3 linked regions of the Neurospora crassa OR74A genome follow. The protein of the gene in region 2 interacts with the protein of the main gene of each other region in a biochemical or structural test. Links are inferred from orthologs where the notes say so. Each region holds a gene or a part of one and is shown on either strand. Other genes may lie near its edges. The genes, in order: acu-6, NCU03947 and NCU04637.

Region 1 (4,048 bases), about 380 kb from region 2:
AATATAGAAATTATTGTGAAATAATGAATTTTAACGAAGTTGTACAATACAGAAGTGCGGTGTGTGTGTGTGTGTGTGCACGCACACACACCTCTTGCCAAGACTGCACAGGCGATTGAGTGTGGGAATGGTAAATTGTTAGGCGCTGCTCTGATTCCCGGTTTGGCAGGCCCAAATTTCCCTGTAGCCTCCACCGCGCTTCCCCTAACCCCTGGCCAGCAACTACCTACCTAGCTAGGTAGGTACTGCGTACATGTACATACAACCGTTGCACACAGCGGCCGTTTCCCTACACCGTCTCCGAGTCGCACATCATCTCACTATCCACTTGCACATGCTGCGTACAATCACGAATCCAACGTCGGCCTTCAACTGAAACCAAAGCACAACATGATCGAGGAATTACACTGTACCGGCATCCTTCGGAATGGTAGTCATTGCAACACGAAACAGATTGTCTCAGGCTGCGGCCAAGAACATTGACAGGATGGCCAAGGCTCAGACCAACAAACTTGCAGCCAACAACACTGGAATCTTGTGCAAGTTGAACAGACGGGGTAATAAAGTAGGAGATGCAAGACCAGTGTGAAATTCATTGACAGTTTGATACAGAGAGTTGCTCATTGAATCCGTGCCTACATCGAACAATATCCAGTGGCCTGAAAATATCAAATGGCAGCTAGAAACGAACGTCAAGGCCGATACTTAGCAAACTGGACTTCGATCATTGCCAGCTTACAAGACACTACGTACAGTAATTGTCCACGCCAGCGCACCCAGGCTTGACCACATCCAGCAATAACCGTTCAACAAACCACGTCGCTGCACCCCTGATGAAACACCACCACCATGCGTACGGTCGTGTACATAGCACGGTTCGCAGCAGCGATCTAGTGTACTATGATAATTGTGGTTGATTTGCATCGCCCTGATGATTCCCGAAGGACGACAGGGGGGCAGGGGTGGACGAGTGCCTGGCTCCGGAAAGTCTTCGTGGAAACCGTCTTCAGCCCAGACAGGAAACCGTCCGCCCATAGCGTCAAGACCGCCCTGCAACCCTCTGGCTCCGTCTGCCTCCGTCCTGCCCCGTGCTGCCCCGTGCTGCCCCGTGCTGCCCGTTAGATTCCACTTACACCCGCTCCTGTTCCGGGGTTGGAGGCGCCTTCAAAGCAAAGACGTCACGCATGATTGGGCATCGGCTACCCTTTGGTCTCCACATCTTTATATCCCATGTCTCCTTCACCTCGGGTTCTCCTGGGACATGTTCCATCTTCACCAATTGGATCCTCCTCCAGCTTACTTGTCGTTGTCGTCTCCGGCTGTGCTCCCGCATCCCCTGTCACCGTTCACCCACGAGCCCGTAACCGTTTCCACTCCCGAGTTGGCTTTCCAGTCGTCCGGCCTTTGCAAACCGCCGCGTCGAAAACAATAAGTACCATGGGCGACCCCGTCATCAGAACCGCTTCTCCCTACACTAATCCCATCATCAAATGCCCTCGACTACAACGTCTCTCGTCTGGTCCATCTTCTAGCTTCATCAACAACAACAACAGCAACAACAACAACAATAAATCATCCAACAGCAAGTACCCCAACTGCCAGCCCTCAAGCCTCGACAATGCCCACGCATACACATCAACATACATACACATTGCATATAATGAATGCCCCTCATGACCAAGTGTCGTCATATCTTCGTCTCTATCAGCCCAAAGCACACGCAGCCCCGGCTGCACAAGAGACTTTGACGAGTTCACCATGGCTAACCGCACTTGTCTCGTCTAGTGTTCAACCACGATCACGTCAACAAGACCAACCTCCACCCTGGTGGTGTCAAGTGAGCAAATCTCCCTGGCAACCCGACTCGTTGCCTGGCCAGAGGTGCTGACGATGACTTCAACAGGCCCCATGTCGAGCACACAGAACTAGAGGAGGAGCTCCATCAAAAAGCTCACATCGACTATGACAGAGTCGCTATTGTACGTCCCTCTCTCCTCATCGCCTTTTTGAGACTGCAACATTCGATATCAACATGAAGGAGCTTGCATATGCACCGCCTGTTGGCTCCAAGTTGGACTCTTTGAAAATGGCCATGCTGCTGGAAGGACGCATAACTAACCCTCCACAGATCGCCAACCCTTCAGTCGCCTCCCTCTACGAAGATGCCCTTGTCTATGAGACGGGCACTGCCATCACATCCAGCGGTGCTCTTACCGCCTACTCGGGCAAGAAGACTGGCCGTTCTCCCTCAGATAAGCGTATCGTCAAGGAGCCTTCATCAGAAAACGACATTTGGTACGTTTGAATCTGTCGCTTCTGTCTTTGACTTCAACAGACTTGCTAACGATTTCTCAAATAGGTGGGGACCTGTCAACAAGCCCATGAGCCCAGAGGTAAGAAACACTTGCACTTTTTTGACACATCCGACATGACCAGAAAAGGTGTTGGTTGGTTGGTTGGATGCACTCCACCGTTTCAAATGCATCCATTGGCGGCGGCATTGGCATTGGATGGTTGCACAAGCACACGCGACCAATTTCGCACTCGAACAGGCGATGGTGAGGCCGGCAGCCCTGCGGTGCACTTTCCACACAATGGATTTTGCCAAGCAGAGCACGGCTTCACGTCATTGTTCTTGGCGACTTTGGAAAATGACTTTTTGATGTCTTGTCGGTGTCATCGTGGAGCCGGTGTGCACCAGCAGCGCCATGTGGGGTCCCTTTGACCCGCCCCTGCTCTCGCCTGGGCTGTCGTCATGACCCGCAGCGCTTGTCCCCGAATCAGGTCACAGCCTCGGATGCATGCCCCCCCATCAATGCACCCCGCTCCCGCTCGGGAAACAACTCGGCCTTCCCCGCACCAACCGAACCCCTTTTTCTCCACTCGGGCCAACGGCGATCCCAGATCACGTGGCCACCCTCATCGTCACCACTTGCTGACTCTTACTCTTCACTACAGGTCTGGAAGATCAACCGCGAGCGTGCTGTCGACTACCTCAACACCAGGAATCGCATCTACGTCGTTGACGGTTATGCCGGCTGGGATGAGAAGTACCGCATCCGCGTCCGTGTCGTCTGCGCCCGCGCCTACCATGCTCTCTTCATGCGCAACATGCTTATCCGCCCTCCCCGTGAGGAGCTCGAGCACTTCCACCCCGACTACACCATCTACAATGCCGGCTCTTTCCCCGCCAACCGTTACACTGAGGGCATGTCCTCCTCCACCTCCGTTGCCATCAACTTTGCCGAGAAGGAGATGGTCATCCTTGGTACCGAGTACGCCGGTGAGATGAAGAAGGGTATCTTCACCGTCATGTTCTACGAGGGCCCCGTCAAGCACAACATCCTCACTCTCCACTCCTCCGCCAACGAAGGCAAGGATGGCGACGTCACTCTCTTCTTCGGTCTTTCCGGAACTGGCAAGACCACCCTCTCGGCCGACCCCAACCGCCGCCTCATTGGTGACGACGAGCACTGCTGGTCCGACCGCGGTGTCTTCAACATCGAGGGTGGCTGCTACGCCAAGACCATTGGTCTCTCCGCCGAGAAGGAACCCGATATTTTCAACGCCATCCGCTACGGTTCCGTCCTCGAGAACGTTGTCTTCAACCCCGAAACCCGCGAGGTCGACTACGGTGACGCCACCCTCACCGAGAACACCCGCTGCGCCTATCCCATCGAGTACATCCCCAACGCCAAGATCCCCTGCCTGTCGCCCAACCACCCCAAGAACATCATCCTCCTCACTTGCGACGCCCGCGGCGTGCTCCCTCCCATCTCCAAGCTCGACTCGGCCCAGACCATGTTCCACTTTATCTCCGGCTACACCTCCAAGATGGCCGGTACCGAGGACGGCATTCTTGAGCCCCAGGCGACCTTCTCTTCGTGCTTCGCCCAGCCCTTCCTGGCCCTGCACCCCATGCGCTACGCCAAGATGCTCGCCGAGAAGATCGAGAACCACAACGCCAACGCTTGGCTCCTCAACACCGGCTGGGTCGGTGCCGGCTTCGCCCAGGGCGGCAAGCGCTGCCCGCTCAAGTACACCCGCG
Region 2 (4,007 bases):
ATGGATTGAACATTTCGTGAGAAAGGAGGAAGAAGAACTCGCGCGACAGACCGCCGTAATCGAGGCCGTCCTCGCCGTCGAACTTGATCATCAATCGTTTCTTCAGGTCCGTCGCCGATTGCCTCGAAATCTCCGCAAACGAATCCTCGAAAATGTGCGATCTCCTGACCTTGATGTGACACTGTCCGGACATGATCCGCATAGCAGGCTGCGAACGGAAATAGATGAGCTTCCTCCTGAAGTCTCTCTTGTACTGCGGTACGTTCTGGTCGAGCGACGAAGGCAGACGAGGATCATCCCAGGTCGTTGTCTTGGTATTGTGATCCACGAAGTAGACGCGAGCCGTGTTGGTGAGCCGCATCTCCCAACCACTAGGCAGGGGACCGAGCTGGGACACCGGCTGTTGTTGAATGGTCCCGTTCGTGTTGTTCTGGCCACCGTACATGCGAATGTACTGCTGGCGTCGAGGGTCGACCCAGGTAGTAGTGCGCGTGTTGTGGTCGACAAAGTACGGCCTTCCTTCTGGGGTAAACCTCTGCTCCCAACCAGCAGGTAATTCACCGGTTCCGGGGGTTGTCGCCCCGGTATGCATCATAGTGGCAGCATTGGCGGTGGCGGCAGCTTGCTGCTGCTGTAGGGTGGGGGAATTGGCGCCAGTGCGGTCCTCGGGAAGTGTTCTGTTCTGATGCCGTTGACGCTCGACTTGAGTATTGGCTTCGGCGGTACGGTTTTCGGCCGCCCCTGTGCCAGTTGGCCGATTCCAGCTCGTGGTCCGTGAATTATGATCAACATAATATGTCCTCCCCAAATGATCCTCGCGACGTTCCCAGCCAGCTGGCAATCTTCCCATTGAATCTTCGAAGGGGCTAAGCGTGCTATGGTGCCTGGCTTGCGCCGGAACGAGGGTCGACGGGTTCGTTGGGGCTGTTCCATTTGTCCCGGGGGTCGGGGCTGTCGACGACGACGAAACAGCCAGGCTGGCGGGTCGGCTTGCCAAAGTCATGTTATTGGCGGTTCCATTAGGTCCGGACATGGCTGATGAAGGACGTTCGTTCGCTCTGTCGTTAGAAATAACCGAACTTTGAGGGGTGAGTAGTGATGGTCTGCTCGAAGATGGAGGGGGACCGAGGCGACTCATAGTTGCTGTGAGGTTAGTAGATAGGTTTATGATCAGTTTGCCGTGCACCACAAGGTTGTCGGTCGATTTCTTAAGGTCCCGCGTGAGCATCTGATCTGTGGGTGTGGTGCATGTCAGTCCCAAATCGCGCTGTCAACCTGCAAACACATGTGAATTGCAGTGAAACCTTACCTTCCGCATCGGGAGCCAATTCTATTACGTCCCCTATCCGGACATTGATGACACCGAGGAAACCTTGGTCCTTCTTTTTGAACTTCTTTTGGTCGAACACCTGGACAGCCAGAATGCTGTCCTCATTCACTTTGCTACGTTGTATTAGCCAGCTGGCCCTTGGGCTGTCAAATCTGAGTTAAGGTCGAACCTACAAATCAAAGTGTTCGTTCCAGTATGGGTTTAGGGTACGCTTGGAGACCTGGGTGGTCTTTGTCTGCTCACCGTTAATGGTAGCGACGGCGAACGGGTCGGGAAACCCTATGATGATGATGCGGTTAGCATATGCCACCTGGAAGTGGCTTAGAAGATGCATGACACCTGGCCACGGGGAGAAACATACTGAAGACATCTCGCTTGTATAGACCATCGGCGGCGATGACTAGAGGGGCATGTTAGTACACCGGTTGGTCATCGGACACATTCGTCGCAAAGGGGCTGAGTACTTGTTACGCGGAGATTGGGCTGGCTTTAATCGTGGTGGTTGTTAGCTGGCTGTTCTCTCGCTTATAATCCGCGGTCCCTGAGGGCGACGCAAAGCAGACAAGATGGGTAGATGGAGAGTCCAGTCGTGGGAGAACTTACGCCGGCAGCCCCGAGTCCCGGCTGCTGGTCATTGTTGCAGATGGAGCGCGTCAACAAACTCGCACGCGGGGCTTTAAGTTTTCGTCTCGTTTCTTGGACCAAGCAGAGGCTGGTCGCAATCGGGTCGGGTAGTCGGTCGCTCTCGCTCGTTTGGGATCGAGGACTCGCGGCTGAATGCAGGCGGGGCGGGGATGAAAGGAGGACAAGTCGACGATGGTACAAGCAGGCTGAATGATTGTTACAAAAGGGCCAACTCTCCTTGCGATGGACACTGACGTTGACGAGAACGCGCAGTCACTGGCAACGGAATGGATGCGGCAGGGTGGATGAAATTCTGTAGGTGGCAGTAGGTGGTAGATGGAAGCTAGAGGGACTCTTGAGCGCCCGTAGGTGGTGAGGCTGTGCTGCTCTTGGTAACTCGTGCGTGTGTGGCCAGCCGGCCCCCCCGCTTTGGGTATCTTACGCTGTCAGGTAGTCACGGCGGCGGAAGGCGAACTGCAAGGAAAGGCCAAGCAATCCAAGAGGCCAAGGTTGGACGGCTGTGGCTTGGTAATACTAAGTAATCTCTGTACTAGCAAGGTCGGCAAGGCAGGTCTGATACTTAGGAAACCACTTCTGTGGATCAACCAGCAGGTAGTGTAAACTCGCTCGGATGTCTAGGTTCGTCTGGTAAGGGTACCTTTAGTTAGTAGTGTCGAGGTTGAATGCTGTCGTTGTTTTGTCGCGGTGAAGCTGCTGGAAGTGGCGGGTGGGTGAGCTTGGGTTCGACGGACCAACCCCAAGAAGGTCCAGGTGAAGAGCTCAATGACCTTCACTAAGTTGCAACCGACGGATGAGCCAAAGGATGGGAGGGAAAACGACCGAGAAACCTGGACGTCTTGCGATGTTGCAAAGGTGCAATGGTGCAACGACCCAAGCCAAGAAATTGACAGTCCAAGTTGGATCTAGCATTGGTGAAGAGACAGGGGGAGGTGACAAGACATAATGGTTCAACAGCATTAACGGGAAAGTATGGCTGGCCTAGCATGCTCTGTGCGAGAAGCTTAACTTTTCAGTTAGTAGCTCAGGTATCGCATTAACGAGTGACTACTTTTAGGCCAGGAACTAGTTAGCAGAAGCCTGCAAAGAGCGAGAACTGAAGCGGAAGGTGCGCACAGTGCGGTACTTGACTTCTTCTCTTAAGCAGTTGGTCGGGTCATTCGAGTCCCAGACTCCCAGGGGGCCACATTCACTCCATGCTTGGCACGGCATCCAGATCTCGAGATCAACATCAACAACATCATTGGCACACAAAGAGCAACCTTGGTGTACATGGATCACATAGTCCCGTGTCTTTTCTTAGGAGTTGATGCCCTGTCAGGAAAATATCCCATGGATCACGGCTCAGTCATCGACACAGAGAATTAGAATAGGTAGCTATGCTGGCCTGAATGCCTTTCCATGACTAGGGGTAGGAAAGCACCTCCACCGACCGCCCCAAGCTCCGAGGTCTCTCCAGGAAACGCCAAGATTGTAGTAGAAGCTGTCTGTTCCAAAAACTCTACACAAGAGGTAGCCCAACGATCGGGGATGATGATGATCTTGCGCAGATCTACCAGATATCAAGCCACTACCGAACTTTGAAGAAACCTCCAGAGGCAGTCAATTAGGAAAGTGAACACTTCAAACCTCAACCTTGACAATTCAACGCACAGCACCTCTACATCCCATAACGACGATACACCGCACGGGGTGCAAAAAGGCGTTAGGTCGCTACTTAGCGTATCCCAGTACATGTAGTGTACCCCCGTTGCCGCCGACCGAGACGCTGCTGTTCCAACAATAGCGCATCACCGACATAAACGCCCGTCATTTCCATTTTGATACCCCTCGCGTGCGACGGAACTGCGGGGCGTTACTGCATCTCTGGATTTTCAATTGAGGTTTCTTTTTTTGTTGAGGTGCTTTTGACGATGGGGAGTTCATGGAAGCATAGAGGTACCCATCATATGTACACTAGGTTTGTACACTACACTAGTGGCTGTCATCATTGAACGAAGCGAGACAGCAAATGTGGAGCGCCCTTTGTTCGACA
Region 3 (4,105 bases), on a different chromosome or scaffold from region 2:
GGGAACAAACCACGACGGCGATCATGGCAAAACGCATCTAATCAAAACTTCCAGGTTTGACCCAATGCACTGTGACCTTTTCACTCCGTTGCTTCCTTCGCTCCAAAACAATACACCCGCCATTTCCCTAGACGCAAACACCCGGGACCCTCTCGCTCCACGCTCCTCGCAGGTCCTCCTTCGCGACGGAGTTTCCTCCTGCCTGACTATTCTCAACAGAGTCACCTGCCGCATATCATTGCATCCGTATAGGATCACCAAGGCCCTGCTACAGAACGTCACGGCCTGGTACGATGTAGACGAACTAGAAAGAATCCGTGTTGTGGTTGCAAATGAATAACTCGACCATGAACGGGTCCACAAAAAAGGGGTATAGGTTGAAGTCGTGCTGAGAAGTGAAGTGTGCTGAAAGCAACTCTTTGATAACTACATTTACAAGTAGCCTTGTATCCTCTAGCTGTTTAACTGGACATAGTTTCCTAGCAAAAGACCATTGTGTCAGAACATATCCAGCTCGCAACAAAGCAAGCACCCTAAGAAATAGTACAGTACGTACCTGGGAATTGACCCTGCTTTCCATGCAACTTTCCAATCCACCACTCATTCTCGTTCGCAGTCCTTGTTACTATCTCAATCACATCACCGGCACGGAAGCTCAGATCGCCCTCCGCCTGCGCCGAGTAGTCGTAAAGCGCTGTGACGGTCTCTACTTTGGGTGCCGCCGCCATGAGGGCCTTGGGCTTGGGCTTCGGCGGTGGGGGCTTGGCCTTTGCAGCCGCCGCCATGGACAACGACGAGGGTTTCGGGCTGGCAACTGGAGCGGCGTAGGAGGCGGGCGTAGCATGTAGCGTGCTCGGCTTCACCGAATACGGTGGCGGCGCATGCGCTTCTACTGTTTCCGCCTGGGTTTCCCAAGGTCGCGGTGCTGTGACGGCAGGAGCTTGTTGTTGCTGTTCCCAGGGGCGTGGGGCTGTGACTGAGGGAGCCGCCTCAGGCGGACCGGTGGAAGTGGTCGTGGAGGAGCCAGCTGTAAGTAGGCCTGCTGGCTTGTTTCCTTCGAGAGCGCCTGGACGTTGGTACTTGGGCGGTCGCTTCATACCCGTGGTCTTGAACTTGACAATGGAGAGAGCCTCAGCCCGCTCCTGGACGTCACCTCGCTTCGCGTAAAAGGCCTCCTCAATGTCCAGGGTCAGGTCGAAGTAGCCAATGTCGCAGTGCTGCATCTTCTCGTGCAAGGTGTAGAAGATGTTGAGCTGCATGTAGTAGAAGGACTGGAAAAGCGGCTGAATGAACTGGCGTTCGAGGGCAAACAGCTTGGGTAGCTCGTCCTTAAGCAGATCGTTGAAGTAATTGTACTCTTGCGTGGCCTGCTCAACTTCGTTCTCAGCCTTCCACATGGCCTTCTCGTCCTTTGCCGACCGGTCTTTCTTGTCCTGGAGCTTCTTGAGGGTGGCGCGGTGTCTGTCGTAGTCCAGCTTCTTGTGCTCGCGCTTCACGGCCGTTTTGCGAATGACCTTGATCACATCGAGGAGCTCGTTCGCTGGCCGAATAACCCTAGCCTCAATCATTTCCAACTCTGGCGCCAGTGTTTCCTGCAGGTCCTTGACAACGGCCTCGTACTCCTCGCAGGCGGCAATACCCTCATAGTTGCCATGGGGAACGAGCGAATCGGGATCGGACATGCGGCCGCTGATGGGCTTGTAGATTTCGGTCATTGCCTTTGAGAACTCGATTTGGTGTTGCAGCATGCCATTGATGGCCTCAAAGTACTTTTTGCTTTCATCGTGAAGGCGTTTGGTCTCGGTTTCGAGCTCCTGGAATCTGCGCTCCGAGTCGATGTAGACAGGGTCTTTGGTATGCTCGCCGAGGTTAAACTTTTGCTTGAATTGTTGTGGTGCCTGGTTTCTGTCGTGTTAGTGCCTGTTTGCCAACCCGAGTGATTCGGCGCTATTTCTGCCACAGACGGGGGACTCGACGGGAAGGGCGGAAGTGATGATGACGCTGTAACCGAAACTAGGGGAGGTGAGATCAACTAGGTATGCGGGGCAGAACCTACGCGGACCACGCTTTTTTGGAAGCCCCTGAAGCTCATATTCTGCTACGAAGCCGTATGATGTCTGATGTGTATTCGGTGTTTGTATGGAGATGCGCAAAGCGGGTTGCTGTTCGGAGAGGTTGAAGGCAATCGGTGGTCGAGTGCCCTCTTCAAGTCGGATCCGGATACGATGGTGATGACGCTGGGGGTGGGCAGGGGGGCGGTGCAGGTCGTTTGGCTGGTGGACGAAGTCTTGGCTGAGCGAAGCTTGCGACGGTTTGCGTGGCGCTGCTATTTGCTGAATGTTGGACACGCCGCACACAGCGACCTCGTTCCAAGATGTAGTGTGAAAAGTCTTTTTGTCTAGGCGTCTTGTGATTTCGGTTTGTTCTTGAATCCCGTCGGTCGGACCCTTGTCAGCAGTTCCGTTCGAGGTCCGACAAACTTCCTCGGGGAGGATTCGGTCTTCAACGGTAGGAGGTAAAGTAGCTAGAGGTAGCTGTCCTAGAGGTAAGATGCTACTAAATAGTTTAGCAGTGTAAATGGAATTCAAGTAGGTTGTCGGCGGTTATATGGCATGTCACTGATGGTTCAAGTTATAGTCCAACGCAGACATCCAATGCGAATGGAAACAGAATACTACCGAGGAGGTAAATAGGTACCGTCATCGGTTGTTCTGCTTTTGGTCGATGAGACCCCGGAAAGGAACGAATTGGAACGACGGGGTAGACCGACTGGGTCTGGGGCCCGCTGTAGTGTAGCTTTCATCCCAGTGGACATGCCGATTGAGAGAACAGATGGATGCCTGCCCCGGGTCAGTGCTCTTCCTTTCTGTGCAATGATGGATCAGATGCGTCCGCGGAGTCCGTTTCACAAGTGGACATTCCGCACTGTATTTGTCAAGTCAGTCGCCGCGGTGCACATCGAGCGTTCAGTTTCCGTCATGCCCGGCGGCCCATTCTCTAACATTTTGGAGCAGCGTCATTTTCGCCGTACGTACATACGCGCTTGTCCGATGTCCGAGAAAGAAACAGGTGGGGCCATCCGATGGCAGAATGACCAATCAAAGTGCCAAACCTTGTTGGTTGTCGCCCCTCATTGGCACATTCCTTTATCACCGACCCCTCCGAGGCCAAGTCCGCGTGCGGATGCCGTTTGTTTCGATTTGTTCTTTTCTGTATGGCGGAAATTCCACTCCGACCGCCGAAGAGCGGGAGGCGGCAGCTCCATCTGAATTTCTGAGTGTGTTTTGAGCCGCCCCGCCCGCTGCCTCCATCCGTTTTTGTAGGTTTGGTTACAAAACGAACTTTTTCTCCCTCATCCGCCATCACCCTCACCACCATATTCTCTTTTCCTCTCCTTCTTTCTTCTTCCTTTTACCATGTCCACCATTGCGCCGTCCGTCTTGCGACAGGCATCGCGCTTGGCCGCGGCCGCTCCTCTCCGCAGCGCGCGTGTGCTGTCGCGGGCGACTACTGCGGCTGCTGTCAAGACTGCTTCTGCTTCCAGGAGCTATGTGACCGAGACCAAGAGGAACAACGCCGACGTGCAGGCCGAGCATGCTATCAAGCTGGATCACAGGGAGATGGAGAAGCAGGGCCTCACTATAAGCGCGCAAAATGGCTCGAGCCAACACGTCAGCCCCATGGCTGGTAAGCATCATCATCACCTCCCACCTCTTCGGAGACATATTGCGCAGTCGTCCTCGTTGCTGACTCAACTAGATGTTCTCAGCAATGCTACCGTGATGGATGAGGGACAGCGTCCCATCTACCTGGATATGCAGGCCACAACCCCCATCGACCCCAGAGTGCTCGATGCCATGATGCCCTACTTCACCAACGTCTATGGCAACCCCCACTCGAGGACACATGCCTACGGCTGGGAGACTGACAAGGCCGTTGAAGAGGCGAGGAAACACATTGCTGATCTGATTGGCGCTGACCCCAAGGAAATCATCTTCACCAGCGGTGCCACCGAAAGCAACAACATGAGTATCAAGGGCGTCGCTAGGTTCTTTGGCCGGTCCGGCAAGAAGAAGCACATCATCACCAGCCAGACAGAACACAA

Evidence for each region.
Region 1: the proteins of NCU03947 (region 2) and acu-6 form a complex in vitro, tested with the Saccharomyces cerevisiae proteins (2 studies listed by BioGRID, with this or other methods). The link is inferred for Neurospora crassa OR74A from reciprocal best matches to the Saccharomyces cerevisiae genes RSP5 and PCK1.
Region 3: the proteins of NCU03947 (region 2) and NCU04637 form a complex in vitro, tested with the Saccharomyces cerevisiae proteins (4 studies listed by BioGRID, with this or other methods). The link is inferred for Neurospora crassa OR74A from reciprocal best matches to the Saccharomyces cerevisiae genes RSP5 and RVS167.

The regions. Positions count from the first base shown.
Region 1 is NC_026506.1:1,823,589-1,827,636, forward strand, and holds the start of acu-6 (phosphoenolpyruvate carboxykinase), read left to right. Parts: upstream 1-1,243; 5' UTR 1,244-1,437; coding exon 1,438-1,582; intron 1,583-1,785; coding exon 1,786-1,837; intron 1,838-1,903; coding exon 1,904-1,979; intron 1,980-2,128; coding exon 2,129-2,295; intron 2,296-2,359; coding exon 2,360-2,393; intron 2,394-2,958; coding exon 2,959-4,048.
Region 2 is NC_026506.1:2,205,867-2,209,873, reverse strand, and holds the start of NCU03947 (ubiquitin ligase), read right to left. Parts: upstream 2,801-4,007; 5' UTR 1,966-2,800; coding exon 1,934-1,965; intron 1,818-1,933; coding exon 1,795-1,817; intron 1,731-1,794; coding exon 1,692-1,730; intron 1,610-1,691; coding exon 1,504-1,609; intron 1,444-1,503; coding exon 1,310-1,443; intron 1,234-1,309; coding exon 1-1,233. UniProt on the Saccharomyces cerevisiae protein: E3 ubiquitin-protein ligase which accepts ubiquitin from an E2 ubiquitin-conjugating enzyme in the form of a thioester and then directly transfers the ubiquitin to targeted substrates.
Region 3 is NC_026505.1:1,375,532-1,379,636, forward strand, and holds the start of NCU04637 (BAR adaptor protein RVS167), read right to left. Parts: upstream 2,809-4,105; 5' UTR 2,093-2,808; coding exon 2,057-2,092; intron 1,899-2,056; coding exon 557-1,898; intron 480-556; coding exon 454-479; 3' UTR 1-453. Other genes in the region: NCU04636 (cysteine desulfurase), read left to right, coding at 3,417-3,687, 3,760-4,105. UniProt on the Saccharomyces cerevisiae protein: Component of a cytoskeletal structure that is required for the formation of endocytic vesicles at the plasma membrane level.